Linked DNA regions of Coturnix japonica. The protein of the gene in region 5 interacts with the protein of the main gene of each other region in a pairwise test. Links are inferred from orthologs where the notes say so. Each region holds a gene or a part of one and is shown on either strand. Other genes may lie near its edges. The genes, in order: TRAFD1, RAD23B, UBQLN1, GUCD1, NGLY1, UBXN2B and TRIM54.

The links.
Region 1: the proteins of NGLY1 (region 5) and TRAFD1 interact in binary tests that used the Homo sapiens proteins (3 or more experiments, as listed by UniProt). The two-hybrid records come from large-scale screens. The link is inferred for Coturnix japonica from reciprocal best matches to the Homo sapiens genes NGLY1 and TRAFD1.
Region 2: the proteins of NGLY1 (region 5) and RAD23B interact in binary tests that used the Homo sapiens proteins (3 or more experiments, as listed by UniProt). The two-hybrid records come from large-scale screens. The link is inferred for Coturnix japonica from reciprocal best matches to the Homo sapiens genes NGLY1 and RAD23B.
Region 3: the proteins of NGLY1 (region 5) and UBQLN1 interact in binary tests that used the Homo sapiens proteins (3 or more experiments, as listed by UniProt). The two-hybrid records come from large-scale screens. The link is inferred for Coturnix japonica from reciprocal best matches to the Homo sapiens genes NGLY1 and UBQLN1.
Region 4: the proteins of NGLY1 (region 5) and GUCD1 interact in binary tests that used the Homo sapiens proteins (3 or more experiments, as listed by UniProt). The two-hybrid records come from large-scale screens. The link is inferred for Coturnix japonica from reciprocal best matches to the Homo sapiens genes NGLY1 and GUCD1.
Region 6: the proteins of NGLY1 (region 5) and UBXN2B interact in binary tests that used the Homo sapiens proteins (3 or more experiments, as listed by UniProt). The two-hybrid records come from large-scale screens. The link is inferred for Coturnix japonica from reciprocal best matches to the Homo sapiens genes NGLY1 and UBXN2B.
Region 7: the proteins of NGLY1 (region 5) and TRIM54 interact in binary tests that used the Homo sapiens proteins (3 or more experiments, as listed by UniProt). The two-hybrid records come from large-scale screens. The link is inferred for Coturnix japonica from reciprocal best matches to the Homo sapiens genes NGLY1 and TRIM54.

What each region holds. Positions count from the first base shown.
Region 1 is NC_029530.1:5,457,705-5,461,734, reverse strand, and holds part of TRAFD1 (TRAF-type zinc finger domain-containing protein 1), read right to left. Parts: intron 3,344-4,030; coding exon 2,941-3,343; intron 1,610-2,940; coding exon 1,343-1,609; intron 563-1,342; coding exon 492-562; intron 300-491; coding exon 87-299; intron 1-86. UniProt on the Homo sapiens protein: Negative feedback regulator that controls excessive innate immune responses. Regulates both Toll-like receptor 4 (TLR4) and DDX58/RIG1-like helicases (RLH) pathways.
Region 2 is NC_029547.1:49,514,488-49,518,517, reverse strand, and holds part of RAD23B (UV excision repair protein RAD23 homolog B), read right to left. Parts: intron 2,254-4,030; coding exon 2,126-2,253; intron 1-2,125. UniProt on the Homo sapiens protein: Multiubiquitin chain receptor involved in modulation of proteasomal degradation. Binds to polyubiquitin chains.
Region 3 is NC_029547.1:36,148,970-36,152,999, forward strand, and holds part of UBQLN1 (ubiquilin-1), read right to left. Parts: intron 750-4,030; coding exon 598-749; intron 1-597. UniProt on the Homo sapiens protein: Plays an important role in the regulation of different protein degradation mechanisms and pathways including ubiquitin-proteasome system (UPS), autophagy and endoplasmic reticulum-associated protein degradation (ERAD) pathway.
Region 4 is NC_029530.1:7,449,178-7,453,785, reverse strand, and holds the start of GUCD1 (protein GUCD1), read right to left. Parts: upstream 3,023-4,608; 5' UTR 3,000-3,022; coding exon 2,789-2,999; intron 1,675-2,788; coding exon 1,590-1,674; intron 167-1,589; coding exon 1-166. Other genes in the region: SNRPD3 (small nuclear ribonucleoprotein Sm D3), read left to right, coding at 3,424-3,549, 4,235-4,424.
Region 5 is NC_029517.1:34,848,428-34,852,457, reverse strand, and holds part of NGLY1 (peptide-N(4)-(N-acetyl-beta-glucosaminyl)asparagine amidase), read left to right. Parts: intron 1-972; coding exon 973-1,161; intron 1,162-2,686; coding exon 2,687-2,864; intron 2,865-3,371; coding exon 3,372-3,547; 3' UTR 3,548-4,030. UniProt on the Homo sapiens protein: Specifically deglycosylates the denatured form of N-linked glycoproteins in the cytoplasm and assists their proteasome-mediated degradation. Cleaves the beta-aspartyl-glucosamine (GlcNAc) of the glycan and the amide side chain of Asn, converting Asn to Asp.
Region 6 is NC_029517.1:101,283,449-101,287,478, reverse strand, and holds part of UBXN2B (UBX domain-containing protein 2B), read right to left. Parts: intron 1,198-4,030; coding exon 1,088-1,197; intron 653-1,087; coding exon 515-652; intron 1-514. UniProt on the Homo sapiens protein: Adapter protein required for Golgi and endoplasmic reticulum biogenesis. Involved in Golgi and endoplasmic reticulum maintenance during interphase and in their reassembly at the end of mitosis.
Region 7 is NC_029518.1:95,417,606-95,422,135, reverse strand, and holds the start of TRIM54 (tripartite motif-containing protein 54), read left to right. Parts: upstream 1-1,652; 5' UTR 1,653-1,719; coding exon 1,720-1,887; intron 1,888-2,027; coding exon 2,028-2,200; intron 2,201-2,593; coding exon 2,594-2,765; intron 2,766-2,859; coding exon 2,860-2,955; intron 2,956-3,199; coding exon 3,200-3,433; intron 3,434-3,519; coding exon 3,520-3,542; intron 3,543-3,696; coding exon 3,697-3,821; intron 3,822-3,904; coding exon 3,905-3,997; intron 3,998-4,136; coding exon 4,137-4,175; intron 4,176-4,530. Other genes in the region: DNAJC5G (dnaJ homolog subfamily C member 5G), read left to right, coding at 622-766, 1,005-1,087. UniProt on the Homo sapiens protein: May bind and stabilize microtubules during myotubes formation.

The DNA.
Region 1 (4,030 bases), on a different chromosome or scaffold from region 5:
TTCCCATATTCCACTCCAAAAGGACATGGAACTTGCCAAACTTCTTGAATTAAATGTGACAGAACATACTGAACTCTGTTTATTACCTGATGATGAAAAAGTATCTCCTCTTCAAGTTGGATGCCACAAAATTCACAGGGAATGATAATGTTTCCTTCTTCCTGGACAGCTTGGTACCGGGATGAATAATCAGACCTATAGCTGTTGTACCCAATATTATGCAGATCATCATATTTTTGTGGATCCAGAGAACTCCTTTTACTGAAGGAAGCAAAGGCACTTGCTGGGTTACAACCTGTCTGTTAAGCAAGTAACATAGAAAAGTTAGCCATCTCATTTAGCACACAGGGGTTTTAAAAATAATGCTGAGCAAAGATAAAATTACTAGACTTTAACTGTATCACTGAGCAAACACTGCACCTTTGTTCGGTCACAGTAACAAACAGGTCTTAACTGCAAGCTCCTAGATACAATACAAAGAAGTACTAAACCTGATGAAGAATCAGATCTTCAGCAGGGTACAGCTCCTCACAAAACTCACACGGCAACATGATCTCATCACCTGCAAAGCAATAATGGTTATATCCTCTACCATATAGAGCCTGGCTTCATTTGGATCAACTTAGATTCAAAATTCCTAAGCAATAAATTCCTGTACTGTAGCACAGAACAGCAACCAAAGCAAATGCAAAGGAAATAGTTACTGTAGTCCCACTTGTTGAGTTTTCTGAGTAAATCCATATCACCCAGAGACAGAAAAGTGTTTTGGGGTCAAATATATGATACAAAAGCCTACTACTGCCCCCACATAAATCCCTTCATACTATTTTCCCTTTCAAATTAATTTGGCACCTCAGGTCTCTCACAGGTGTTGAGAATAAACATGATAGGAAGGCAGCAAGAAAGCCTGTTGTTATGAATCCCTTAGCACTGATGGGCACAGGCACCTATTTTGCTTCTAAAGGTACACCAGTGTTTTCACTTAGAACTGAAGGCCTGGAGTAATATCAGTGCTTGTCCTTGCATTGTTCTGAACTGTTATGAGTTGAAAAGAATTTCTGGATGAACATATCAAGGTCAGAGCTCCACTACACCTTTTAGTTCTTCCTCCCCTTCTGTCTTGCTTTACTTCTGTTCAAAGAAGTATTACTGTTTTTGAGGGGACAGAAGATAACTTTTAAGAAAGAAATGGCATGCTTAATCTCCTACTATTAATTATTTAACAATTATTTAGAGGGAGTCTCAAAGAGCTTCACTTTGATCTACTTAGATGATCTTTGACAGTCTGCATCCAAGAATCCTCTTTCTCTCTCAGACTTAATAAGACAGCATTTATACTTACGTTTCAAGTGGTTTGAAGTGTTCAAAGACAATAAAGAGTCATAAGGAAAGGTATTTGAGTTGTCTGTTTCATTGGGGCAGGAAGATGGCACAGATTCTTTGGCATAGTGGTTTTCCCAGACGTCCCTGTGAATCTCTGCCGCAGAATTATTGCGAGGATTATTCTCATTCTGAAGGCTAAGAGCCAACATGTGGTCTAAATTGGCATTCTGCTCTTCATAAAGTGAGTTAGTGTTTTTATTTCTCTCCAGCTGCTCCAGTCCATACTCTTCAAAAGATGAATATAAATTTTAGGTAACGTTAAACCTGCAACAATTACTTAAGCAAATTAGTCTAGTTCAACCAAGAGGGTTTCACGTGCGGACACTCATGGAGTTCAGTATTTCACAGCCTAGGACACTTCCTGTATCAAATTAGAAGGAAAACAGTCATCCTGCTTCTGTTTGTAACAACCAAAAAGAGGAGAAAGAAGAACAGAAAATGTTGTTCCGCTTACACAAACATTATGAAGTTAAGGAGAGAAGTTCTGTATCCTACCTTGTGAACAAGGCTCAATTCTAACACGCATCTACTACTTTCTGTGAGGCTGGAACTTTTCAACCTTGTCTCTTTAATGTGTGAGTGGAAAAACAAATTCCTTTTAATGATACTACATTTGACAAATGGGTATTATACACATACAGAAGAAAATGATGAAATGTTTCCTCGTCGTAGAGTTATACATAAAAACAAGCAATCAACAACAAAAAACCCACCACATTTCAGAACAGGGCCCAAGACTGAACTGATGATGTCTAGTGGAAGGCTGAGCTCCTCCCCCATGCTGGCATGTTTCAAATATCTCCAGCATTTTATTCATCTTGATTATATCAGAAATTCAAGAAAACTTAATACACATATGAAAATCTTACTAGAAGATAATTTAGAACTCAGTACAAGTGGACAAGTTATAGTCCTCCAAGCATTTAGCTTCATTAACTAACCCCAAAAGTTATTTCTGCAAGCCAGGCAGTCTTCTATGGCAAAGACTGCAGTGTAGTACTTTCCAGTGTTAAACCCTCTGAGTAGCCCACAGCAGAAAGCAGAGCACACGTTCAGCAGAGAGCTCATGGAAAGGGCATGTCTTAAATGTGACATGACCCTCTGCACATGGAGGTGGGAGATTAGAGGCTTATGAGCAAGCAGAGGCATTTATAACAGTCTCAGCTATGTCCAGACAGGCTGTTATTGCAGAAATGCTCAGCACTTCATATGTGAACCACATACAGATCTTACCTAGCCTTCTACTTAAAGGAAGAGTGGAGCTGCTAAATAAAAATCAAAAGGATTTAAAGTGAGCAAACAATTCCAGCATCATTTTAAAGTTAGGTACTTCTTGAGGTGAAAGCCCAGTGCATTGCCTGTGCTGTCATCTCACCAGCTACCTCAAAAGTCCTCCATTTAGGAGGCTTATACTTTTGCAGCTTTGTTCCACAACAAAATAGTGCCACACTCATTGCCTCCACAACTTTTCTTACTTAGTATCACATAAATCTTTTACTTGGATCACCTGGCAAATGGCAGATTAAAAACAAGTTATTACTTTCATCTATACCTTACCTTGATTTTGATTTCTCTGTGTTCTTGAAACATTTCTTCTTCTAATGTCCTTAAGTGTTTTGTCTCCTACAGAGTCGCTATAGATCTGCCTTTCTAGTGCCCTGGGCATTCTCCACAAAGGCACAGCACAGTTATCTGATCTTAACTGGTTTCTAATGTCTCGAAGGGCATGCAAACCTGCATCCTCTGCCTCAAAGCGAGGCACTGTTTTGCTTACTCGCTTCACCTCTTTCCCACAGACTTGGGGATGCTCTTTTAGATCTTTTACCATTACGTTAAGGCCACAACCACTACACATCTCAGTCCTAGCTCCACAGTAACTTTCATGATCCTGAAGCTTATTGAAAGTAAGCTGGATGTCACAATGCTGGCAGACTGCAGGACGCAAAGGGCACGCTGATGTCTAAAAAAAGAAGGAGGGATTATTCTTAACATATGGAAGACGGAGGCAAAGGTAAATGGAGGTTCTCACTTTACTTGAGTTGAGCTTGCTATTGTTTCTTTAGCTAGATACAAAGCTGCACTGAAGAGCAGCCTGAAATAAAATACTATACAAGAAATAAAAGAATGATACACTGTATCACCTGTGTAGTCAGAAAGCTGTCAGCTGAAGCACTACCAACATTCAAAACATTCCCTTTAAACCTGCAATGCTTTAACAGCAGCTTCACATAGTGCTTTTTAAAGTTAATTTTTAAGAAACATTCTTCACAACCACATTTAAGTACTGCTTAAAGACTTATTAGTGCTTATTACATCAGGGAACAGACTTGCAACGCATTTACTACTGAGCAACTATCACTTACACACACTCTTTACACTACACTGAAGCTAAACATATATTAAATACATGTTATAATTGAAGATGCTGCAATAGCACATTGCCACTTTGTAAACAAAAGTATTTCACAAACTTCCAGAACAAACAACTTCCAGTGTTTTGGACTGGATGCGTCTTCAAAGAAAAAACTATTTTGTTTCCTAAGCAATAGGCAGATCTGCATGGCACTCCCAGAGCTGCCTTTCACTGAGCCCAAAGGAAAATAAAGAAAGAGCTTTAAAACAAGATTGGCTACGGCAGCAGAGAACT
Region 2 (4,030 bases), on a different chromosome or scaffold from region 5:
ATATAAACATCACTTGAACTGTGAAAAGGGCATTTTTTTGCCTTACTGTGGGCAGATCTGCTCACAGTTTAACCAAACAGAGTGGCTTACTAGCAGACAACATTCACCACAGGTGTGTGTAATAATCATATCAGGCACAGTCCAAGAAGCATACACATTTTTGGACAACGAGGGTTGTAAAGAATTAAATAGCTGGATGACTGACAGAAAATCTAATTAACAGGTTAAGAAAACCTTTGGTCAAAACCAGATTTGAATCTAAATATCTCCTAAACACAAGTCTGAAGTAAAATAAATAAATAAATAAAAATTTTTAGAAGTGTGTTTTAGAATTGAAATCTCCTTCTACAAACACAGCTCAAGGATATAGGACAATATATGATTGAGAAACTAAGCCATAAAAATTGAATAGCTTGTTAAATGATCCCACTTGCTGTCAGTGATTCTCCAGTTCTCATCTCCAGAACAGCTACATTAACTACACTTGACCTTTCCTTTCCAGCCGCTTATAGGCTTTTTTCTTGGTGCTGATTCTTCAAACCACAATAATTGTGTGCACTTAAGAGCTCAACATCCTAAAGCTACCCTGCAGATCATTTGGAGGCTGTTAAACTAGGAGATCAAAGAACCGCGTTATCAGTGGAACAATACTAACTGAAGAAAACATTTTCCTGATGCAGCAGATTGGTCATGAACATATTTAGATAGACCAAAAAACTGTCTAAAAGTTCAGTAGCACCAATAGCATTTTTCTAACAGAAAAAAAAAGAGTCTGTATACTAATGTTCTCTGAGAACAAGATTACTTCTCACCACTCCTTTCTCCAGCTGACAGAAAAATGAAAACATATTTTCAGAAGAGAATGACAAAAAATAGAAGGGAGAGCACATATGCAAGAGGAAGACCCACAAGCCTAATGAGCAAGAAATTAACTACTCAGGACAGAATCGATCTGTTTGATGAACAAACGTGCCACCTGTTAAACTACCTCCTGGATAATCTATTTTTATTTTTTTCCTCAACACAAATGAGCTAAAGCAGGGAAATATTATTCCGACTGCAAAAGTACTACAGGCTGTACATGACTGGGGAACATACACCAAACGCAGCACTTCAAAGGGGCACTGGATTTATGTACAAACTAAACGCACAGTGAGCAGACAGTAAAACCAACACTTTCCAAGGCATGAAAGATAAATATTTGAGATTTCCAGATTAATGACAGCTGGGTTGGAACTACTCCATTTGCCCTCAGGGTATCAAGAATTCAAAGCCTTTGTTTGCTCCCATTCCAGATGAGAGTTTAACTTTTTACATTCATGTACTAAAAACATTTGTTGCTCATTTAGAAACTACAGGATCTTGGGATCAATTGTGTGAATAGCAACCGTGCCAGTGACTGCTAGTTGTACACACTAACAAAAAATTTTGTTTACAAAAACAAAACTTTGCAGCTGGAGGTCAGTTTTCTTATCAAGTCTCTCAGAAATTCTGTTCTCATACTCTGCAGGGACTAGTTCAAGACAGCTGGCTTTAAAATGAGATGTAATTTAAAAAGCAACAACAACAAAGACAACAACAAAAAACCCTAAAATAACTTACAAGATTTCCATTAAAGTGAAGTTACTATTTTATTACCTCTCAAGTCAATCAAGTTCATTTCACTTTTGAAACTGTGTTTTTGACAAGGGAAACTGTTTCTTGTCCAGAACACTGCATAAGTAAAGCATTTGTTAATAAAAATTTACAAGTCCTTCTGTTTGGAAAACTCATTAGTATGATTGTTGTGTACAACCAGTAGTAATGATGAACAGGAATTTCTAAAGTGTTACCTTGGTGTGATGTTATGCACACTAACAAAACAGCATTATCACTAAGATGTCACAACAACCACTGCTTGGGTTGGTCACTAGCAATTAAGAGCTTCCAATGAAACTGGGTGTGCCTAACACATATAACCACAAAAAAATCAACAGAATATAAGCAAAGCAAGAGATGTAGCTAACAGCAACTTCAGTATTTCCCGTAGCACACGATCAAAACAATATTCAAAATAACAGGTAAATAAAATACAAAGTTCTTCAATGAAGACGAGAGAACGGAGTATACATGACAAACTGCTCACCATTAAAAGGTATTCCACTGCTCTGTCTGGATTGTTGAAGCTGGCTCTCAGCGCTGCAATTACTTGCTCACGTTCATAGCCGATGGACATGATTTCAGTCACCATATTCTCATAGGACTGACCTGTCACTAGAAGTAACATTTTGACCATTGTAAATGAATAAGGTACCAAAAAAAAAAAAAAAAGCTTAAAAAGCTTCAATGGAGAAGTGTCACTTCTATTCAAATTTGAGTAATTCACTGAAGCGTAAACACTGATATCAACCTCACCATGGTTCTATCAAAACATGTTCTGATAGTTTCATTATGCATTTGGTTGGAATAGCAGAGTTCTAGGATAATGAACACACTACAAACTTCCACTGAAAAAAGCAGCACATGTGACAATTCCAACTTCATAACTGAGATACCCTTCCCTTTCTATGCTTTTCCCTAAGCTCAACAATGTCATTAAAACTAATATTCAATTCCTAACATAATTATGAAAAGTCTCCTGCAGTCTAAGTTCAGAAATTAAGCTTTTTAGGCAGAAACCTGCTTGTCAGACTATATTAGCCATTGATGTTTTTTCCTAAGAAGTACTTTATACTAAGCTATGGTTAGAAAGGCGACAAAGTTATGATCAAGTTATAATTGTCTATTAACTATGAGCTGGTGACAACAATCAAAGTAATTTAACCAACTTAACTTGGAGCAACTGAAGTCAAGCAGAAGACTAAAGTTATATCTAAGAGAATCTCAAGACTTCAGTGAGGATTAAGTTATCACAATGTATTTTTGACTAAACATCTATCACACTAAGCTCCCGATCTTGTCTGGGTGCAAACATACTAAACCTGGCTCATGCCTGCAGATATCAAGACAAAGTTAAAAAATACTGCATATGGAACAGTTTCAGGGCAGTTCATTATACAATTGGTTTAGAAATAAATAAAATTAAGTATACATAAACTGCTTCATTTACTTCTGTTAAAAACAGACAAGGTTTAAAAAAACCCTCTGAAACAAAAAGGAAAAAACTATTCTATTCTGAATTGTAATTGAGCAACATTTTAAGGGAGACTTCCCACAGAGAGTCAAAAGGAAAAACTAAAAAATATATTTAAGAGTAGAACAGCACTACCTCAAAGACACTTGTGCATTACACATAAATAATGATTTAACATCTATTGGCTAGTGTGAGTACCCACTGTTCAGACTTCAAAACAGAAGATTTAACCAACTTAAACAAAGGTACATACATGTCTTTACATATAGCCATTATTTTACATACTCATTTCCTTAAAATAAGCAATCATGAAAACTTTGCCTTAAAAATTATATATTATTGTACATATCTTCAAAAAGCAAAAAAGCCAAAACTGTTCCAATACAGTAGTTTATTTATCAACTTTCTGCTCGTATTTTCCCATCCACCAACAGTTTATTCTTACTACTGATCATGGACTTATGAAGATAAACAGCACACAGAATACCTTTTCATTTAATTAGTTAATGCTTAAACATTTCTGTAGTGCTTTTCTCAATAAAAGCTTGGTAGAGACCAGAGCAGTGATAGATTTTGTACAGAAAAAAGAAGGAAGAAGGAAACAGAAGTACTGTGAATCTAAGCACATGTACTCCATACACAGTCTATTTAAACAGTATAATAACATGAGACCAACAGCAGTAGTTCAGGAATTGCACACCAGCAGTACCATCATACAGCCAGGACTCTCTCTAAATAATGTTAGCTAAGATTGTTTGTGAGAGTGCAGCTGGGTGTGCTTGCCTGTTGGCCACAACTGCATGTGCTGGGGTGTAAATCAGTGCAGTCCAGGGTACACATTAGCTCTCTCTGCTTTTTAATAACACACATCCCAGGCCAGATTTCGTAGGATCACAGAATGAAATTGAAAGAGACCTT
Region 3 (4,030 bases), on a different chromosome or scaffold from region 5:
TTTCTCACTGTCGTTTAGAAGCAGCCTCATCAAAATATCTCAAAAAAAGTCTTTCTGCTCAGGCAAACAAGTTGGTTGCACTAGAGTAGTTCTCCTTCAAGGACTTTCCTTCCTTTCTCTCTCTCCAAAACAGAAATGTTTCTCCCCTATTTTTTTCTTTTTTAATGTCCCAAAAGTAATACTGCTCAACAGACACTCATGGTTACTAAAAGCTGCTACCTAATAGAACTGTAAAAATGCAATGCAGTCAACATTCAGCAGCTCTGCTGAAGTTCAACAGCAAAAGCAAGAGAGCGACCTGATGTAGCTGTAGGTGATCCTATTCACTGCAAGGGAGTTGGACAAGATGACCTTAAAGGGTCTCTTCAACTCAAAAGATTTTATGGTTCTATTACTTGCATGCAGAAACACACATCTTATTAAAATATGACACAGGTCTAATGAAAGAGCATTTTAACTTCAGACTAATTTTGCACCACAGCTAACAAATTTACCATAGTTGCTTAGTCAGATCTAAGTTTGCACAACAGGAAGCTGTCACATCAGAAATTAGAAGTATTTTGACTTCTTAGAAGCAGGGAGACAACTGTTATTTACCTGTTTTGTGTTTTGATAACCAGGTGAACAGTGAGTCCATCATGAATCCCATGCTGAGTCAAAGTATCTTGATCTTTCAATATTTTTCCAGCAAATATGAGTACAAGTTGATCGGTATGGGACTTGAAACGCTTAGAAATTTCTTCCTTAAACTAAACAAAAAAGTTAATTTTATACACTTACATAATTGTATATTGAACTACTATGTTTTTAATAATTACTGGACTTGGTTCAAACTTAATATACTAAAGCACATGCTCTGCATTTTTTAGTTTACGCAATCTAGAAATACTTTGTTTAGGTCACTCAACTTTTTTTTTTTTTTAATTTTGTACAAAGGAAGAGACAAGCAAGTCATTCCTCTTCCATGCAGTAAAGATGAAAAGTGTTTCATAGTCAGTATTTCAGACACACATCCATGAGAATAACTACATACCAGTGTGGACATATTTACACACGCACACAATTTACATGTTTTACCAAGTATACATAGTATTATATGCACATATTACATATCAGTATATGTATACTAATATGTTTACATATATACACAAAACATACACACACTACAGAATTTATCCTTTGCTGATTAGACTGAGGACAGAATATCCCAATTACAGTGAAACTGTCTATACTTTTCCTTGAACCAATCAAAGAATTATCCTCACTTCTCAGACAGTTTTGCTGCCCTTCATGCAACAAAACTAGCACTCCTTTACGTACAGGCAAAAAATACTACTCAGCTGGCCCTGTTTTCTCAGCCAACTCATAACATAACCAAAGGAAACAGTTCTAGCCATAGTGAAAAGCCACCTACTTCAGCTGACCACAAAAATTACACTCTCATTAGCACAAGAGAACATGGAAACCCATCATATAACTTTCTGCCTTCTTATCAAGTAGTAACCAGGTTACACTTTGACTGATATTTAATTATTCTGTAGAAATTTTCACAGTGAGGAAAAAAAAAAGTCACTAAAAGTAAAAAGGAAAACAGTAGGAAAAAATGACAAGGAATGACTTGATTATACCAAAGCCAGGAATACTTCTAAATAAGACTACTCAGTAGGTCATTTATTTTTTGAAGGTATCCTAGTCAGTTGGGAAAAACTCCAGAAGTTCACCCAATTTGGCATTTTAAAACTGAATTGACCATACCTCTTCAGAAAAAAATTTCCAAGCATTCTAGAAATTCTCACTCCTTCAGAAAACTCAAATGTTAATCTTACAGTTATTAATACTTATGTTTTATAATTGGCAGGACTAAAAAAAGAAAATCCCCTAGTATCTAATTGGAAGGGTTTATTGTACAGGAAGAGAAAAGAACATGCCAAAAGAAGTATCTGAGAGACAACAGAGATAAGTCTCTGTCTGGGTAGCAGGTAGCCGCTGCTTAGTTAAGTCTGATCACACAGATTTTGTTCTGGTTCTCATAGAAACAGCTTCTAAGTCAGCCTTTACACTGACAATATTTAAGCTTGTCAGTATTCCAGAAAGTCATTCCGTCCATTCCTTTCCAAGGTGGCTTACTTACCTGATCTATTACTCACATGTTTATCTAGCCTGTTTTCAGAGGTCTCCAGCAATAGAGACTCCATTATCTTTTTTTTACCAAGAAACCTACTCCAGCACTTCACTCTCTTGTTTCTTCATTGTCTGGCCCACGATGGTCAACACAGATTGTTCAGCTTAGGATAAAGGTTGCAGCACAGCTAACCTTTCTTTGAGGAGTAGTGTTTTCTAATCTGATTGTTCTTACTACTTTCTCTATTTTTAAGTTCATTTCTAAATGTAAGACACAAAATGAGCTACAGCACTCTACATAAATTCTTACTCACTCTTACTAGGATAGCAGGAGAAACTCTACATCTTGCAAGACACATTTCCACTTACAAGAAGCAGAAGCCCATATGGGAAAATAACAGTGCAGACTTATTTAACAACTATTAACTCTTTAAACCATTTTCTGCAGAATAACTTCACAGGCAGTTGCTTCCTAGTCTTCATTCCTTCAGTTAATTGTTCCCAAGAATGCATATTACAGAGTAGCAAAATCAGGAAAAACATTCAGTTTGGTACAAAGTTAATGCATAAAAGCATTGCGCCAGACCAAAGAGTAACATAATCTGCTGTCATACTTTCACAATATGGTGTGACAGGGAGCAACTTAATTATCATAATAAATTTTATGCTGTATTGTAAACAGTGCTTAGAGCCATGTCCTGCCAGGTTTCAAGCAGCTATTTAACCATGAGGCCAAGGAAACAAAACACCTTTTATAGAACGTAACTATGTGGTACCTAGTATTACTAGTATAGGCATCAAAGGCTATGCACATTGTTTTCCCTGCTATCATGATACTGCCTTAGATGACCTGCAAGAACAACACTAATCTAAGACATGAATGCAAAATCCAATGTACCAGAACCATAAAGAGCCCTTTACAGCAATGTACGTGCGCAATCCAAATGCACAGATGACCTTTTTCCAGCCAGGAAAACAAATCTATCATAAGTACTGAGACAATTCCAGTTAACTGAGGCATATCTGTATAGGCAGACTAACTGCTGGGAGGGGAAAAAAAAAAAAAAAGAAAAACTAAAACTAAGTCAGGTCTTTTTCAGCCTCACCTGAATTCAGCAAAATCTTGAGATTTCTGTAATGATTGATAGCCATGCTTCATGTTCAAGAAAGCCATCCAGGTGACACCACGAAACTCATTTTGTAAATGAGTCTGATGACTACTTTTAATAATCAAAAATAACAACACAGCAAAATAGGCCTGTGAGAATAGCAATCTTTTTCTGAGGCAGAGGAAAGAGATCATTTATACATCTGCAGTAAAATAACCTACAAATTTTTTTCAGTACAAGTGTTGTTGTTGTTTTTTTGAATTCTCAGCAAACTATCCTATGAGAACATAAATCACTACTGTTTGCTTTGTGAAGAAGAGTTAGGGAGGGTGGAATACAGAATTTTTTCCCATACTCTGTGGGCAAGCATCTCTCCATTTAGTCTGCACCTCCCACTGTTACTGGTAAGTACACTAAATGCAAGGTCATTCTCATATAGTAAAAAACCCACAGTCTTCTTTAAATTCAGAAAGAGTAAAGATAAAAATGAAGAAATGAATGGCATTCAGGCTCCCACGGACCTTTTGTACACGTAGTTTTCCACTAAATCTGCTCAACGTTGTTGTCTCTGAAGGTTTTTGCAACATACAGGTGAACATTGTTCTGCTGCTGCCCACACCCAAACCAACGTGAAGAGAATAACTTGCATTGTTCCTACCTGAGCTAGTTATAGTAAAAATTTTGTCAGTGAACAAAGCACCTATGTATCTGAATACAGATGAACAGTTGGCTATAAGACTTTTTTTGCACAGCCACTTTGAGAGGGATACCCATACTTCAAACTATTGTCTTCTAACATT
Region 4 (4,608 bases), on a different chromosome or scaffold from region 5:
CTGATTTTTGTAACCCTTGTCCACTCCAAGCGTCTGGGTGCAAAATTTATGCTTAACACCAAAGTGCCGCATTAGGTAGGCCAGGTCAATGGTCCAAATACTCTTTGTTAACCGGAGCTCTTGGATGGCTTTCTGAAATTCATCATTGTCCAAATGATCCAGGTACCTATGGTATTAGTAGAGGTAGGGGAAAGGAAGCACAGATCTTAGGAGAAGCACAGTATGTTCTGTAGCCCAAACCTCCACATCCATGGGACAGAAAAACTGATACAATGGGCTTGGCTAAGAAATAAGCATAAAACAACCCACAAATGAGCCACAAAGTTAAGGGAAGGAAGCAGAGAATACATAAATGGATTTATTTCTGACTTTTCTTATTGGAAATATACAGGTATCTCAACTGCTCTGTAGTACTAAATATATACAGGATGCTGGACAATAGGCAAGCTATACTGAGCAAGTATAGAACTATCTTGAAGGGCTTACAATCTACATATACAAGGTTAATAGAGCAAATGCAGAAAGCAGCAGTAAAGACTAAAGCCTGCTCCAAGCAACAGATGAATTTCAAAAGGAGGAACTGTAAAGGAAGTTGATAAATATTCAAAGGAAGCCTGCTTAGGCACTGATGACACAAAAGGCAGTAAGGGGGGAGATGAAGTCTGAAGAAAGCTTGGGACAGGTTGCAAAGGGATAGGGAAGGGCAGTTACAGAGTTCTGGAGGTCAAAACAAATGGAATTAAACGAAGAAAAAACAAATTGAGGAAGCAGGGCAAACAAGGTCAGATCTGCAAGGTGAGAATATTAATCTTGAATGCTGAGTTTTGGACAGACTGGTGTGGCAAAGAGGTTAAAGGGAATGAAGAGGCAGAGGTTACAGAAGTCAAGATGGGAATTACCAGCACACGGACTAACGTCTTGGCAGAAGGGATGGAGAGAAATGAAAATCTTCTCCTTCATATCTACTAAGTGGACATCTAAATAGGTATTTCTCCTGCACCTAACATGTTCCTCTGTGGAAGGAAAGAGGAGTTCAGAAGAACAGCTACAGGTTCACAAAAAAAAAAAGAAAAAAGAAACAAAAAAAAAGAAAAGAGATGGCAATATAGTGCACAGCTGTGATGTTGAAACAACTCCTGGAACAAAAACCATTCACCCCACAGGCTGGGGGCTCAGCAGGACAGAGGCAGTATACTCAGAAACTAGGATAAACCTATCCACTGCATAATGATATAGAAAGGAATTACGTGACTTGCTGTGGTAAATACCAGTTCTGAATTGTAACAACAGGAAAGAGGGATAATTTCTTATCAGCTTAAGCATACCAAACTGCTTAATTGTTAGCTCAGGGCTGATCAATCAGAACAGTTATTCAAAAGGTCTTAAGTTTGTCTTAGCTTGTAATTTCCCTTCTGGATTGCTGTGCTAGGCCCTGGAAGCAGTAATTCTCCAAGGTATTCAGGGATATGTGTTCTTGCTAAGCAAAATTCACAGCTGCTCCAATACACCTCATGTCCCTGCACATTGCTTCCTGATACCCTCTCCCATGGGTTGGGATTTCCCACCCTTCCAATGAAAACAGCACTTACTGTAGCACCATCCTGGAGCAGGCCAGCCCGCAGTCCCAGTGGTACAGCTGCTGAATGATGGGCACTTTCAGCTGCACACATTCACCTGCAGTGAAAACACCCCGTGTGAGTAAAATGTAAAAGCTGTCAGTCGTTATATGGGAATGTTTTTCTGTACTTCACCATTCCAATTCAGCTTGTTCTCAGCTCTGTATTCTGTGCCAACAAAAAGTCATAGGTCAAATGGGTAAAAAACAGACACAACCAGGATCTCTAGGCAGTGATTTCTTACAAGCCCTATGGATTTCAGCCTCTTCTACTGCCATGTCTTTTTGTGAGTAATTTTTTAAGGTAAGACAGCTCACAAATGACACCATCTGTAAAAGGGCCAAAGAAGAGAGACAAAACCCAATCTATATCAAGAAAATCTGCAATATCAGTAATTCATCCTTTGTTATTTCTTTACAGGCAGTAGTAGTGGTTTCAGTTTCAGCAAAGCCCAGATTGCTTGATGGACTGAAGTGCTTCCGCTTGGCATTGTAACTTCAAAGACAATCCAAGTGAGTTAATCATAAAAGGCTTTTCTTAATGACTTTACCTTCGATCTGGTACAGACCCTTGGAAACCTTTGCTAACACAGAGTCAGCTCTGCTTTCAGATGGGGATAAAAAGCATTCAGCATCCTGGGGGCTGCTGCAGTTTCAACACAGCTTTATATGTAAAACTTTATGGACAATGTCTTGCAGTTTTAAACTGTTTTCTCACTGAGTTACGGCTTATTGCAGCAACAACGCGGTGCACTTTCTCAATCACGTCACTGGGTTTAATCATAACTTTGAAAGCTGGCACACACCCATTGGTGTACTCAGTGTTTGTTAGCAATGTTGATTATACTTTAGAAGGACAAACAGCCCCTCAAATCCCGCTTGAAGGAAGTAATGTAAGCATTGGCGGTGTGTTATGAGCTGTGTTATGAGCAGGTCCATTCTCTGTTACCATCCAGGGCCTTCTAACACCACAACTCACTGTGGATGTCCCTGTTCTCCATACACTATGACTTCAAAGGTAACAACCAGGCCCAGCGCTGCCCGCTTCTCATCCCCACCCCCAACAGAGCTGTCACGGCCCGACCCGCGGCTGTAAACAAGGCGGAGCACTCTCAGCTCCACCAAGTGCTTGACAGGCCGCCCCCGATCCGAGGCCCCGGAGCTGTCACTGACCTGCCTGCGGAGGGGGCTCCCCCGGCTCCCGGGGGCTCCTCATGACGGCGGCCGCCCGCTCACTACCCGCCCCGCCGGACTTAGGGCCGCGCCATGCCCTGCTGCGGCGACGGCTCCTCCCGGCTGCGGAGGGGGCGGACCCCGAAGCGGCTGCTCGGAGCTGGGAGGGAGGGAGCTGCCTTCGGGAGGAACAAAAGTGCAGCGGAACCATCGTGATAAGGCAGCGAGACCCTGAGGGACAGGAGCAGTAGCAGGATCCGCTCCTGTGCCCTTCCGATTCCGGGGCTCTGTGCACGGCGGGAAGGCGGCGGCCATTAGGGTGGTTGGTGGGAGGTGAGTGTCGGTGGGGGTTTGTTATAGGGTCGGTTTGTTATGGGGTGGGTCTGTTGTGGGGGTTTGTTATGTGCCTGCAGCTTCGTAGGGCGGCAGATGTGGGCTGAGAGGGTGGGCTGCCCTCAGCCTTGGGCCGGGCCTTGGGATAGGCGTGTATTGCCAAAGCACTGAGGCCTTTGTTCAATGGAGCAAATCGGCTCCTGTAGGCAAAGCCGAACTGCAGAACGACTGGGAGTTTGTTTCCTTTATTCACTTCTATGTTGTGCTCTCTGTCCCAGGAGTAGAGCCGCAGTGTTGCAGCCATGTCCATCGGGGTGCCCATTAAAGTCCTGCACGAGGCAGAGGGCCACATTGTGACCTGCGAGACCAACACTGGGGAGGTGTATCGTGGGAAGCTCATTGAGGCTGAGGACAACATGAATTGCCAGGTAAAAGAAGTTTATCTCATCTGTTTGGAAGTGGTTGCACTCAGCAGACTGACAGCGGGATTTAAAGACCTTTTACTTTTAGTCTTAGGATAAATAAAGCCCTTTTACTCTGTGCACTTACAGTAATGAAGTGAATTCCAGATTACTGAGCACACCAAATTGCTCAGAATTGGGATTTCCTGTTCCTGGTTCCTCTGTGAGCACCTTCTCTTCAGCAGTTCTTTGTTTATTGCCTGTTGATAATAAATAAACTCTAATTTATGAGCTTAGAGCTGTGCTTAATGCAGAGGACTTTAAGGCATTGCAATAGCCTTAATTTTGATAACTTCATGCAAGTTGTAGTTGAAATAAAAATGTCCTTAATAGCTGGGACCAGTAAAACTTTATTTAAACTATCTGAATAAGAAAACAAAACTAATAAAACTAATTAAGCAAGTGGGGAGGAGGGGAAAATAGTGAGTTTGCTTAAATTTTAGCAAGCTTTAAGACTGTGTTTAAATGGTTATAGATGCCTTATATAACAATAACAGTTGAAGGCTGTATGCTTGATAGGGCTTTGAGTTTATTACTTGAATCTTGGCTATATATATATTCCATGAGCAGGAGTAGTGGGAGTACAAAACTATGTTTAAGGCCACTTAAAACAAACTGTGTTTGAGACCACTGTCTGATCTTTACTTTCCAGATGTCCAACATAACAGTGACATACAGGGATGGGCGAGTGGCGCAGCTTGAGCAGGTGTACAGAGGCAGCAAGATACGGTTTCTCATTTTACCAGATATGCTGAAGAACGCTCCTATGCTAAAGAGCATGAAGAATAAGAACCAGGGCTCTGGAGCTGGCCGAGGAAAAGCAGCTATTCTCAAAGCTCAGGGTGGGTACAGTGTGTTTGTGGTCTGGTGTTCCCTCTTTACCTTCCTGTTTTGCTGTACAGAAACTGAGATGTTTTCATCCCTAACACTAAGCAAAGATGAGCTGTAAGAAGCTGAATGAGTGACAGCAGTCAAAACTCAGACTGATGCACAATACTGATACTGCAGATAGTTCAGGAACAGTAA
Region 5 (4,030 bases):
AGGTAAAAATGGGATCTAGGAAAGGTGGAACCAGGCTCCACCCCTTCTGGTAGCACAGCTGAATTACCTTCACCTGTACTCCTGCAGCTGACTCATTGCTTGCCTCAGGTGGTCATTCAGAGGTTCAGGCTGTGATCAACAGTTTCCCATATGGGTAGCTAATTAGAATTTCTGTGACTACAGTCTGCAGAGGAATAAAGCTTTGTGAGTCAGGGGTAGGTGAACTAAGAATTATGTTCAAACAGTGAAAACTGTAAAAACATTAGGGACAAGTTAAGTAGAATTCAGTAGTGGTACACTAGAAAGATGAGGACTGGTGGTGGTCCATTGATTCAAACAATGTTTGGGAATAACTGAGTCATGCTAAAGTATTACATTTTATAATTAATAAAATAATCCATTTTGATTAGTTATGATGCAACAGAGCTAGGAAGTTTTAGGGCAGGTGGAAGCTTTTGGGAAGACTTTAAAAAGTATGTGGTTATGGAGTTTGTAACTTAGCTTTTCTGAAATTGATTCATTAACATGTACAAGCACCTGAATATGACAGTCACAGACTTTACATTTGATATTTGGAATAACCGTATAGTCGTTGATTGTACAAGAAATAGAAATATACTCAATACTTTTTCTAGTCCTAACATGTTACACTTTTTTTTCCCTTAAATTTGCAGATTTTATGTTCTTTGCTTAATAATTTACTTGCAAAAGTAATTGTGTGACTATTTTAAAAATAATATTTTTGCTCCTGTCTGGGAAAGTGGCAAGTCTGTTGTAGGAAAGTAGTTCAGAGGTCTCTGTTTTCTGTAACAAAAGCATCTATGCAAACTCTTGAAAAACTATGATGTGATTTTTGGGACTTTTTTCAGTTGACATGAAAACTGAGAAAACGTGGTACATTAATTAAACGTAACATCATGTTACTTGAAATGTTTTGGGAAATTAACGTGCTCATCTTTATGTCTTTTTCAGGAGAGAAAAGAAGTGGTTTTTATTCCCTCTGAAAAAGAGAAGGCTTCTAAACTTTTCCACCTCATCTACAATGTTGTGGAAGATAGTTATACACGGATTTCCAATAATAATGAGCAAATAAGTGGCTGGGGAACAGGTGTTTGGAAGGCAGAGTCTATTTGGAGAAAGGTTGAAACAGATTGGAAGATGGTAAGGATTTATCAACTGTTAAATCTACCATGGAAGTATGTCAGTTTCAGTAAAGTAGAAAATCCTTGCCTGTGTTTGGCATCAAAACCTCTCTGGTGCCTACAGAATTTAGTGGATGCTCATAATTATTACTGGAAAGTTTCAGGTAAGATTGCCAGATGATTTAAGAAATTGTGAATAAATTTAGCTTGCCTTTCAGAGCGTTAGAATCCCTGCTAGAGCATCAGATCTTAAAAACTTGTTTCCTTCTTATGCTTCTGGGCAAGCATGTGATACTGCTTTAGTGAAAAGCAGTACTTGTCTCAAAAAAAAAAAAAAACCCACAAAAATAAACACTTGCTTTGGGGAATAGCTTTATAGTGTGTATCATATCTCTTTGATGCACAGCCAAAGGAAGAAGTTGTCATCCTAAACATTATGGTTCCATCTGCAATAACACAAAAAAACTTATCGGCCAGATTATCATATACCCTGCCCAGACTCTTTCCCATCTGTTAGGACACTGAGCAGCAGAAGAATCATATGCCTTAAATCTAGGAAGAAAAGAGTTGACGCCTGTAGAATAGGAAGAGGTCACTTACTAACAAGCTTTTTCAGCAACAGCTACCAATGGTGAACTGAACATTCCTCTGAGCTACTGCAGCTTGTTATTGTTGTGTTCCCTCTCTCATCCTAGTGGCCTGAAGGGTCTTTGGCCAAATGTGTGTCTATCTTAAGGAATAGTTTGGTTTTTAGTAATGAAAAATGGATCAACAGGCATAATTCTCTTCTAACGTTTTCTGTACTGGGTCTATACATAACAACAGATATTTATACAAACTGGGAGGAGAACCTCTTGAGAGCAGCCGTACAGAGAAGGACTTTTGGGGTCCTGGTGGACAAAAAGCTGGACATGAGCCAGCAGTGTGCACTTGCTGCCCAGAAGGCCAAGTTTATTCTGGGCTGCATTAAAAGAGGGGTGGCCAGCAGGGAGGAGGTAGTGATTGTCCCCCTCTACACAGCTACTGTGAGGCCCCATCTGGAGTACTGTGTCCAGGCCTGGGGCCCCTAGTACAAGAAGGACACAGAGCTCTTGGAGCAGGTCCAGAGGAGGGCCGCTAAGATGGTCAGAGGGCTGGAGCACCTCTCCTATGAAGAAAGGCTGAAGGTACTGGAGAAGTGCCGTGTGGCAAGGAGTCACATCTGCAGAATCCAGAATACTGAGCAACAAAAATGAAACTGTGGACCTATGGTTTTATATAAAAGCCAGAAGTCTGCTTTTGTTTAAATAATGAGCTTTAATGAAAATGTTGAAATAGAGTAGTGTTCCTAGTGAAGGGCTATGAATTGTGTACAGTTACCTAACTGCTGAATAGACTTAATGATTTAGAAAGAAATCATATAAAAAGCAGTAATGTGAACAGTTTTAAAGCTTAATAAAGAATGAAAGCATATCCTTAAGATTGAATAACCTTGTTGCAGGGATTAATTAAATATGTGTTGATCATTTCAATTTTTCATGTGACTATGTCTTGTTTTTATTTAGGTTTATTTAGCCAGAAAAGAGGGGTCATCCTCTGCTTCCATCAGCTGGAAGTTTGAATGCAAATCTGTTGGTCTAAAAATAGATAACATTTCAATTAGGACGAGCAGTCAGACATTTCATAGTGGAAGAATCAAGTGGAGACTTTACTCTCCCGCAGCAGAAGTTATTGTGGTAGGAGGTAAGTGTGAAATTACATCATGCAGCAAAAGTGTAATTGCAAAGGTGTAGTTTATATGGGGAGAACACTAGGCAACTGTTAAGAATGAAATGTAAACATATGTTGATATTTCTAATTTAGTCTTTTGTAGCAAGGTGAAAAAAAACTGCTGTTTAATCAGAATTGGTATAGAAAAAGGAACAAAAGCAAGTTTTAGTAATCTTCACAATACTACTTTGCAGATTCGTGGCATTAGCAAAAACACAGTGAATAAAAGCTGTGTGTTTTACAAGTAAGGACAGAGATTTGTATGTGGTGGTGTCAGTCTTGAGTAGATCCTCTGAATGTGAAAAATACAGTAAAATTCTGCAGCTGTTAGGTTTTTTTTTCTGCTACTGATAGACTGATTTGTACAGTGGTGACTCAGATTCTTGAACATTCATGACACATTACCCCTTTAATATGAGTTCTAGCATTGTGTACTGTTTGGAGTGGACCCTTATTTTGTTAATCTTTTTCTTCCAACAGATAAAAATCTTACCTCCTATTCGGATTTTTGCGGTGCAACAGAAGTTACACTGGAAGCAACTCTAAGTGGAGGGGATGGTAAAACTGCATGGCAACACACGCAGCTGTTCAGAAACAGCTTAACAGGATGTGGAGAAAATTGCTTGGAGATTATTATTAAACTTGCTGACCTCTGAGAACCTGAAATAAGGTGAACTTCATTGGATTCCTTGAAGACTCTGTACTGTGGAAACAACCCAAGGTCTTGGTTGGCAGTTCATGACTATCCTGCAGACAGCTTATTCCTGTTTCAGTCTTTCCATTTTGCCAAATGGAAACTGCATGGGTACTGAGTAGGTAACCATCACAATGAAAGCCTTCTTTGCTTCGAAACTTAAAAATTAAGGGATTGAACCATTAAATTAATGCTCTTTCCTTTAACTAAAGAAAGGAAAGCATTTCTTAGTAACCAAAATGTGGTCATAAGAGCACAGAGCAGTTTTAATTTGGAGTTCTGTGGTTAGCTTACTAGTTATTGGGGTATTCGTTTTGTTGGTTTTTTTTAAATTTACTTCTTGCAAAAACAATGTGAATTCCATTTTCTGATTAAAACATTGTGATGATTTTAAAAATATTTTAAAAACTAATAGAAGACAAATATTTTCAAGGAATAATCTGTT
Region 6 (4,030 bases), about 66 Mb from region 5:
TCGCAACTCAACAGCTCTTATCAAATCAGTGGGAGAAGATGCTATAAAACCAATAATTGTTATGTAAAAACGCCTGCTTGCTGGCAGAGTTGTCACTTAACTGTTTACTATGACAGTAATTTAATCTGAACAGAGATTAAGTATATTTGGACAAAGTAAACACTCAGAACATGGGAATGATTTCTGCAATATTATGTACCAGTTCTATTGGTATAAAAAAAAATATAGAGAGACAAAATCATACATTAGAATAGGCAGAGAAATCTTGTATTTACAACAGACATCTAGCAGATCTAAGAGCAGGTCCAGGACACAGAAGACTTGCCTTTTAGTAAGATTACATATAAGCTTTCACGGTTACAAGTGACTATAAAATCAGTGCTGGGACCTTGAAATCAAGGTGGCACAAAGTGATTTCATACTGGTGTCATCACTTGATTAGTTCTCCAAAAGAACTAATTAAATCCAGCTTTTGGCATGACAAATAGACGCAGAAAACTCAGTGATTTTTTACCTTCCAAGTTTTTGCCCTTCTCCACTGAAAGCTTTGAATCTCAGTCTTGGCTTCACATATTCCTGCTCCTGGTGATCTTCCATATCCAGGTTAACCTGGCCACCATGAACAAGTCGCTGCAGTTCCACAGGAATTTCCCTTAATACAAAAAAAGGCTCCCGGTTACGCTCTGTACTGCAATGAAGAATTACACAAAAATCTTACACTGTACAAGCTCATGCTTGTTGTCCGCTTACTTTAAAAGCCATAGATGCCCAGTTGTTTTATGAATTGGCTTGGTCTCAAAATAACAGATAAAATGAAAAACTAAAATGAAGAAAAAAGATCAGCATAGAAATTACCAATAAAATATGCAGAACTAACAGCCTATATGAGTAAAGTTAGAAGTTAAGCCACCAACAAATATCAGTTTTTTAATTACTCTATGCATCTGCTGACAAATATGGATCTCATTTGATAGGTACAAACATAGCAGAAACGTTGAGTTTTTAATAATTTTGGTCCTTTAGAGAATACAGTTTTCTTCAGTTCACTTGAAGGATGTGCCCCAATAAAATTGCTGTTTTAACTCACCCTCTTTTAACAGACTCAAGAAACTGAGCATTTATTGGGTCTGAATAGGATCTCAGTTCTCCATCATCTAAACTGAAGCCGTTCCTCCACAGTTTCAGCAAAATCTGAACCTAGGGAAAAACACAGATGTTCAAGAAAGTGAAGATACACAGGTAAAGTATTTCAGTTTCCTACAGATTACTATTTATTCCACAGCCAATTTTACATTTGTGGTAAAAAGTCTCTTATTAATCTGTTATTCATGCGCCAGGGCAAGTTTAGGTTGGATATTAGGAAGAACTTCTTTACAGAAAGGGTAGTTAAGTACTGGAATAGGCTCCCCAGGGAGGTGGTTGAATCGCCATCCCTGGTTGTGTTCAAGAGCCGTTTGGATGTGGTACTCAGGGATATGATTTAGTGTAGGGTTTTTAGAGTTAGGGTTCTGGTTAGGCTGCAGTTGGACTCGATAATCTTCAAGGTCTTTTCCAACCTGGGTAATTCTATGATTCATGACATACAGACAATATACAATGACTTCATAATGAGCTTGACTGTGTTTGAACTACATTTAAAAGCAGTAAACACTTCCTGTTGATAAAACAAGAAATAAATGCATGTATTTATGAAATATTGCTGACATACCAGTTAGAGCTATAATTGCCATTTCATCAAATTGTTAAACTGCAGTTAAAGTTGATACTAGCTCTACCCTGCACCTCTCTTTCCTGTAACTAATGCCTTACTGTCCAGCTCCCAACCTAGACCACGTCCTTTAGCTTCTCCTGTTTTTCCTGCCTTGATGAGCTTAACATCAACTCTAGGCACTCATCTGAATAGCAAGGTATAGAAGATTTTGTATTTTTGACTTTCCCTCACTTCCACACAATGACGTGATCCCAAGCAAAATCTGACAGGAGAAAAGGGAGAAAAAGAAGAAAAGATTTGCTTTTAACCTGGATCATCTCCCTGATCCAACTTATCACTTCTGTTGGCTTGTGGGAACAAGAGGCTGGACTAGACTGTCTTTCAACCTAACATTCTAAATTTTTTTTGGTTGGTTGGTTTTTTAATATTATGAGACTAACAGAGTATACTAACTTGGTTTCTTTCTTATTAATCAGTGGAAGAATTTAAGCTGTATCTAAGCACAGGAAAAAGAAGACTGAAAGTCATGCTCAGTCTGAAAAGCTGGCAAATAAAAGCTTTTGATGTCTCCACTATCTTCATATTATCAGCTAGGATGCATTTAATTTGTATAAGGAAGAAAAGGAGGAATCACTTAAAAGAAAAGATGACCTGATTTTTCCCACATTCGATCTTGAGTAAGAGCAGACTATCACACAAACTGCATCAAGTACAGCAAAGAAGTGTCAAGATGAGAGGATGGGAGTAACCTGAACAGAGAGGATTTATAAAACCAGCCATTTATAATTTGTGTGACAGAATGGTTTAATAAAATTCAGCCACTCACATGAAAGCATGAAAAACATGAATGCCAAGATGGAGAAAAACTTCTCTTTTTTTCCCCCATCATTCTGTTTCAAGTAGTGAAACCAGCACTTTCTCAGCTGTGGGTCAGCACCCAGTCTCTGACTTGAGCCTTCTTTCCCACTAGTTACAGTCTGCTATAAAAGGAAAACCATGCATTTTCCACCACACTGAAAATAATTTGCAAAGAGAAGACTCCAGCATAAATTGTATGTGGACGATATAAAAAAATTATAAAGACACAATGAGATGAGTATTATTATTAAAGAATAATGGGATTCTTTTAGATTGTTATCTGTTTTTAGAAATAACTATGTCTCAAGTTAGCTTCAAGATTTAAGGCAATTTTGAACTTGAATCGTGTCTAGAGAAAGCTAATTGATTACTTGTCAGTCAGCCTCACCCCTCAATTCCTGGGAAGGGACTGGAGCAGCTAAACCTGGAAATCATTTTCCAGGCATAGGAAAGACATCAAATTCATCATGAGCAGTCAGCATGGATTCATCAAGTAGAAGCTGTGTTTGACCAACTTCTGTAATGAAATGACTGGCCTGGTAGATGAGGGGAGAACAGTCGACATTGCCCACCTGGAGATGAGCAAATAGTGAGCTGGACTGAAAACGAGATGAACAGACAGGCCCAAAGGGTGGTAATGAGTAGAACAGTCTAGTTGGAGGCAAGTAACTAACAATGTACTCCACAAACCAACAGTGGGTTTAATCCTGTCTGGAATCTTCATTAGTGATCTCACCAATGGAACAGAACATACCCTCAGCAAGTTTGAAGATGATACAAAAACTGGGAGAAGTAGCTGATACACCAGAGGGTCGCGCTGCCATTCACAGACACCTCAACAGGATGGAAAATGGGCTGACAGGAACTTAATGATGCTCAACAAGAAATGCAAAGCCCATCATCTGGAGAAGAAAACATCGTAGTCATTACCACACTGAGGGGCACTTACTGGGAAGCAGCTTGGCAAAACCTGAGAGGACACCAAATAGAACACAATCCAGCAGTGTGCCCTTACAGCAAAGGTGCCTAATGGTATCCTGGACTGTATTAGGCAAAGCTTTTCCAGTAGTTGACCATATCTAGAGCACTGTGTCCAATTTCAGGCTCCCCAGTACAAGAAAAACACAAACATAATGGAGAATGACCAGCAAAGGGCCTCAGATGAAGGGAATGGAGCATTCTCTCCTATGTGGAAAGTCTGACACTGAGCTGGGCTTGTTCAGCCTGAAGAAGCCAAAGCTCAGGGAGATTTCATCAGTGTGTAAATCCCTAAAGGTGCAAACAAAACAGAGCCAGGCTGTGTACATTGATGCCCAGCACCAGGACAAGAGGTAATGGACACAAACTGGAATACAGGTTTTCTTTGAACATCAGGAAACATTTTTTTTTTGTTTATACTTTGCAGGTTTCTGAGCAATAGAACATTGCATCTAGAGAGGTTGTGGAGTCTTCTACTTAGAG
Region 7 (4,530 bases), on a different chromosome or scaffold from region 5:
CTGGGGAATTATAGTGGCCCTGGGATTTCATGGCAGCTGGATGCTGAGGTCTCAGGGTGACCCTGGGAGTCTCAGGGTGGCCTCAGGGGTCTCAGTGTACAGCCCCAGGGGTTTCAAGTCAGCCCTGGGGTCTCACAGTATCTGGGTGTGGGGTCTCAGGAGGGCCCTGGAGTCTCACAGTGGCCCTGGATTCTCAGGGCAGCTGGACACTGGGGCCTCAGGGCAGCCCCAGGGGTCTCAGTGAGGCCACAGGGGACTCAGGGCAGCCTGGTGTCTCCCAGTGCTTGGGTCTGGGGTCTCAGGAGGACCCCAAGGTCTTAGGGTGGCTCCAGGCATCCTACAGTGGCCCTGGGATTCTCATGGCAGCAGGACACTGAGGTCTCTATGTGGCCCCAAAGGTCTCAAGGCAGCCCTGGGGTCTCACAATGTCTGGGTCTGGGGTCTCAGGTGGCCCTGGGGTCTGATAGTGGCCCAGGGGATCTCCATGGCAGCTGGGCCCTGTGGTCTCAGAGCAGCCCCATGGGTCTCATGGCAATCCCAAGCTCTTAGGGCATATTGGGGGTCTCGGGGAAGCCTCGGGGGTCTCTGGGAAGCCTCAGGCTGTGACATCCCATCCCGCAGGCCCTGGCGCTGTGCTGTGGTTTGCTGACCTGCTGCTGCTGTTTTTGCTGCTGCTTCTTCTGCTGCGGGAAGTGCTGCCCACCCCGCGAGGACGAGTCCTATAAGTACGTCGACCCCAAGGACCTGGAGGCGGACGATGGTGGCGGTGAGTTGGGGTCCAAAATGGTGACCCCCCCCACGATGCTCCCGGCTCACAGAGACCTGCAGGGGGGGCTGCACCGGGCTCGGGGGCTGGTGGGACACGTGGGTTGGGGGCTCTCTCGGTTTCCTTAACAGAGGAACAGAGACATGAGGGCCGTGCTGGTGCCAGGGGCAGCCCCGGATCGCTGCCAGGACCCCAGGACTCCCTCCTGGTTCCACTGACCCACACATTTTCTTTCCAGACCCACAGGTCCCGGTGGAAGCGCAGCCCCCCGCAAGCAACGCCCAGCCCCTGCCTGCTGCCGGAGCCAGGAGCGAGGCATAGGGCCACCTATGTGCCGGAGGGGGGTGGGGGGTAAAGCCTCCTCCGGGACCACCGCCGCTTCCCAAGACCCCATCGTGGGGTGGGGAGGGGGGTGTACAATCTCAGGTGAAACCGTCCTACAGCGCTGTGACTGAGACCGGTAGCACTGTAACCCCGGGGCCGGACCCCCCTGACGGGAGCTGGGTGCCAAACGCTGCTCTGGGGCTGGTATGGGGGGGGAGGAGGAGGGGTCGGAGAGGGGCCTCCCGTCGCGCCCCACTCTGCCTCGCCGTGGGGCCGCACCGCGCTCGTTATGGGGCTGGGACCCTTCAGGCACTTTCCGTGGGTTTGTATATGTTATATGGGCACCATTAAAGGATGATGGGGGGGAGCTCGGCGGTGTCGCTCTCTCGTCTCGGAGCGGCGGCTGTGGAGCCGGGCTGGGGGGGGGCAGCGCCGTGCCGCTCCCGGGGGGCGTCGGGACGGAGTGACCCCGGCGGTGGGACGGCCGCCCGCCGTGACTCAGTGTCACCCGACGCCGCCGACAGCTGCGCGGCCCCGACGGGGCGGGGGCGGCTAAAATTAGCGCTGCGGGGCCGGAGCGGGGCAGTGAGGGGCCGGAGCGGTACCGGAGAGGTACCGGGACCGCGGCGATGAACTTCGCCGTGGGGCTGAAGCCGCTGCTGGCGGAAGCGCGAAGCATGGAGAGCCTGGAGAAGCAGCTACTGTGCCCCATCTGCCTGGAGATGTTCAGCAAGCCTGTGGTCATCCTGCCCTGCCAGCATAACCTCTGCCGCAAGTGTGCCAACGACATCTTCCAGGTGCGGGGCGCAGGGACCGGGCTGTGCCCGGGGTTGGGGGCTCCGTACACGGGAGGAGGGGGGATCTCTGTCTCGGAGCGGTTCGCTAACCCCTCCTTCCCCCCCTGCCCTGCTCTCTCCTTTCCCCCCTGCCCCCCCAGGCCTCCAACCCGCTGTGGCAGTCCCGGGGTTCCGGCGCGGGGCCGTCCGGGGGCCGGTTCCGCTGCCCTACGTGTCGCCATGAGGTCCTGCTGGACCGGCACGGTGTGTACGGGCTGCAGAGGAACCTGCTGGTGGAGAACATCATCGACATCTACAAGCAGGAGTCGGCGCGGTGCGGGGCGGGACACGCGTGGGAGGGAGCCCGTGGGGATGGGGGGGGGGTGATTGGGGCTAAAGGGGCTCAAGGGCACCGTGGGGTGAGGTGGGGCGGGGGATGCCGTGGCTTGTGTGGTATGGAGGGCTGTGCAGGGGACACGAGGGGGAATGAGCCTGGGTGGGGGGGTATTGGGGCTAAACTTGTGGGGCTGGGGGTGCAGTGAGGCGGGGGATGCTACGGGGCAGAGGTGTGCCGTGCCGTGGGGCCGTGCCGTGGGGCCGTGCCGTGTGCCGTGCCGTGGGGCCGTGCCGTGGGGCCGTGCCGTGGGGCCGTGCCGTGGGGCCGTGCCGTGGGGCCGTGCCGTGGGGCCGTGCCGTGGGGCGCAGCGCCCTCTCCCTCCCGTCGCAGCCCCCTGCACGCCAAGGCGGAGCAGCAGCTGATGTGCAAGGATCATGAGGATGAGAGGATCAACATCTACTGCGTCACCTGCGAGGTCCCCACCTGCTCCATGTGCAAGGTCTTCGGTGCTCACAAGGACTGCGAAGTCGCCCCTCTGCAGAGCATCTTCCAGGGCCAGAAGGTGGGTGACCCCCAGAGCCGGGGGGGGGGTCAATGGAGCGGGCGCGGTGGGAGGGGTTTCCCGGTGCGACCCCCGACGCCGCTCCGCCCCCCAGAGCGAGCTGAACAACTGCATTTCCATGCTAGTAGCGGGGAACGACCGCATCCAGACCATCATTTCCCAGCTGGAAGATTCCTGCCGCAGCACTGAGGTGGGGCTGCCCTGTGTGTGCCTTCCCCCCCACACCCCCCCCCCAGGCCCCGCGTGTGGGGTCTGCGTGGTTCGGGACCCCCACCCGGTGTATTGTGCCCACATGGTGGGATGCTCCTGGGAGGGAAATCCCCACTGCAGCCATGGAACGCGGGTGTCCCCAGGGCACAGTGACACAGGGGTGTCCTGTGGGGCCGGGCTGGGAGCGTGGCAGCCCCCTGAGCCCCCGGGGGGGGATCCTACAGGAGAACGGCCGGCGGCAGAAGCAGCACGTGGGGCTGCGCTTCGACTCGCTCTGCAGCATCCTGGAGGAGCGCAAGAAGGAGCTGCTGCAGAGCATCGCCCGCGAGCAGGAGGGGAAGGTGCAGCGCGTGCGCGGCCTCATCCGACAGTACGGGGACCACCTGGAGGCCTCCTCCAAGCTGGTGGAGACGGCCATCCAGGCCATGGAGGAACCTCAGATGGCCGTGTACCTGCAGGTGCCTGGGGGGGGCTGTGTGCGGGGCGCCCTGCGGCTTGGTGCGCTGCTCCTGGGATGCTGACGGCACTCTGCTTTCCCCCACAGCACTCCAAGGAGCTCCTGAAGAAGTGAGTGGGGTAGGGTGAGATGGGATGGGATGGGATGGGATGGGATGGGATGGGATGGGATGGGATGGGATGGGATGGGATGGGGAGGGGGATGAGATGAGGATGGCATGGGGGGGTGGGTGGGCAGGGCTGATGCTGCTTGCTGTACCCCCAGGATCACAGACATGTCCAAGGTGTCGATGAGCAGCCGCCCTGAGCCCGGCTATGAGAGCATGGACCACTTCTCCATCAATGTGGACCATGTGGCTGAGATGCTGCGCACCATCGACTTCCAGCCAGGTGCCAGCATGGGGCGGGCGCTGCCTTGGGGAGGGGACTGCAGCAGGGATGTCCTCACACTGAGATGTGCCTCTGCCCCACAGAAGCGCTGGGTGAGGATGATGGAGATGGACCCACAGACAGCAGTGAAGGTGCAGGGGATGAGGAGAGCCTGGAGGCACCTGAGGCTGCTGAAGGTGAGAGTGTGTTGTGCTGTGCCGTGCTATGCTGTGCCGCAGTCACCACGGTGCTGCCGTGGCTGCGGCGTGGCCATGTACGGTGCATGGTCTCACCATGTGTCCCTCTCTCCACCTGTCCAATGCTTTTTCTCTACAGATGTGGGGCCAAGGCAGAAGCCATTGAGCTCTCCCCATGGTGAGATGCTCTGTGGGGATGAGCAGGGTGTAGGGATGGGATGGGGATGGGATAGAGATGGAGTGGCAGGGGATGGGATGAGGATGGGTGGGGATGGGGTGAGGATGAATGGGGATGAGGATGGGTGGGGAGGGGGGGAGTGAGGATGGGGATATGACAGGGATGGGATGGGGATGGGGTAGCAGGAGATGGGGTGAGGATGAGTGGGGAGGGAGGAAGTGAGGATGGGGATAGGATAGGGATGGGGTGGCAGGGGATGGGGTGAGGATGAGGAGAGGGATGGAGGGAAGATGGGGATAGGATGGGGATGGGGATAGAGATGGGATGGGGATGAAATGGGGATGAGATGAGATGG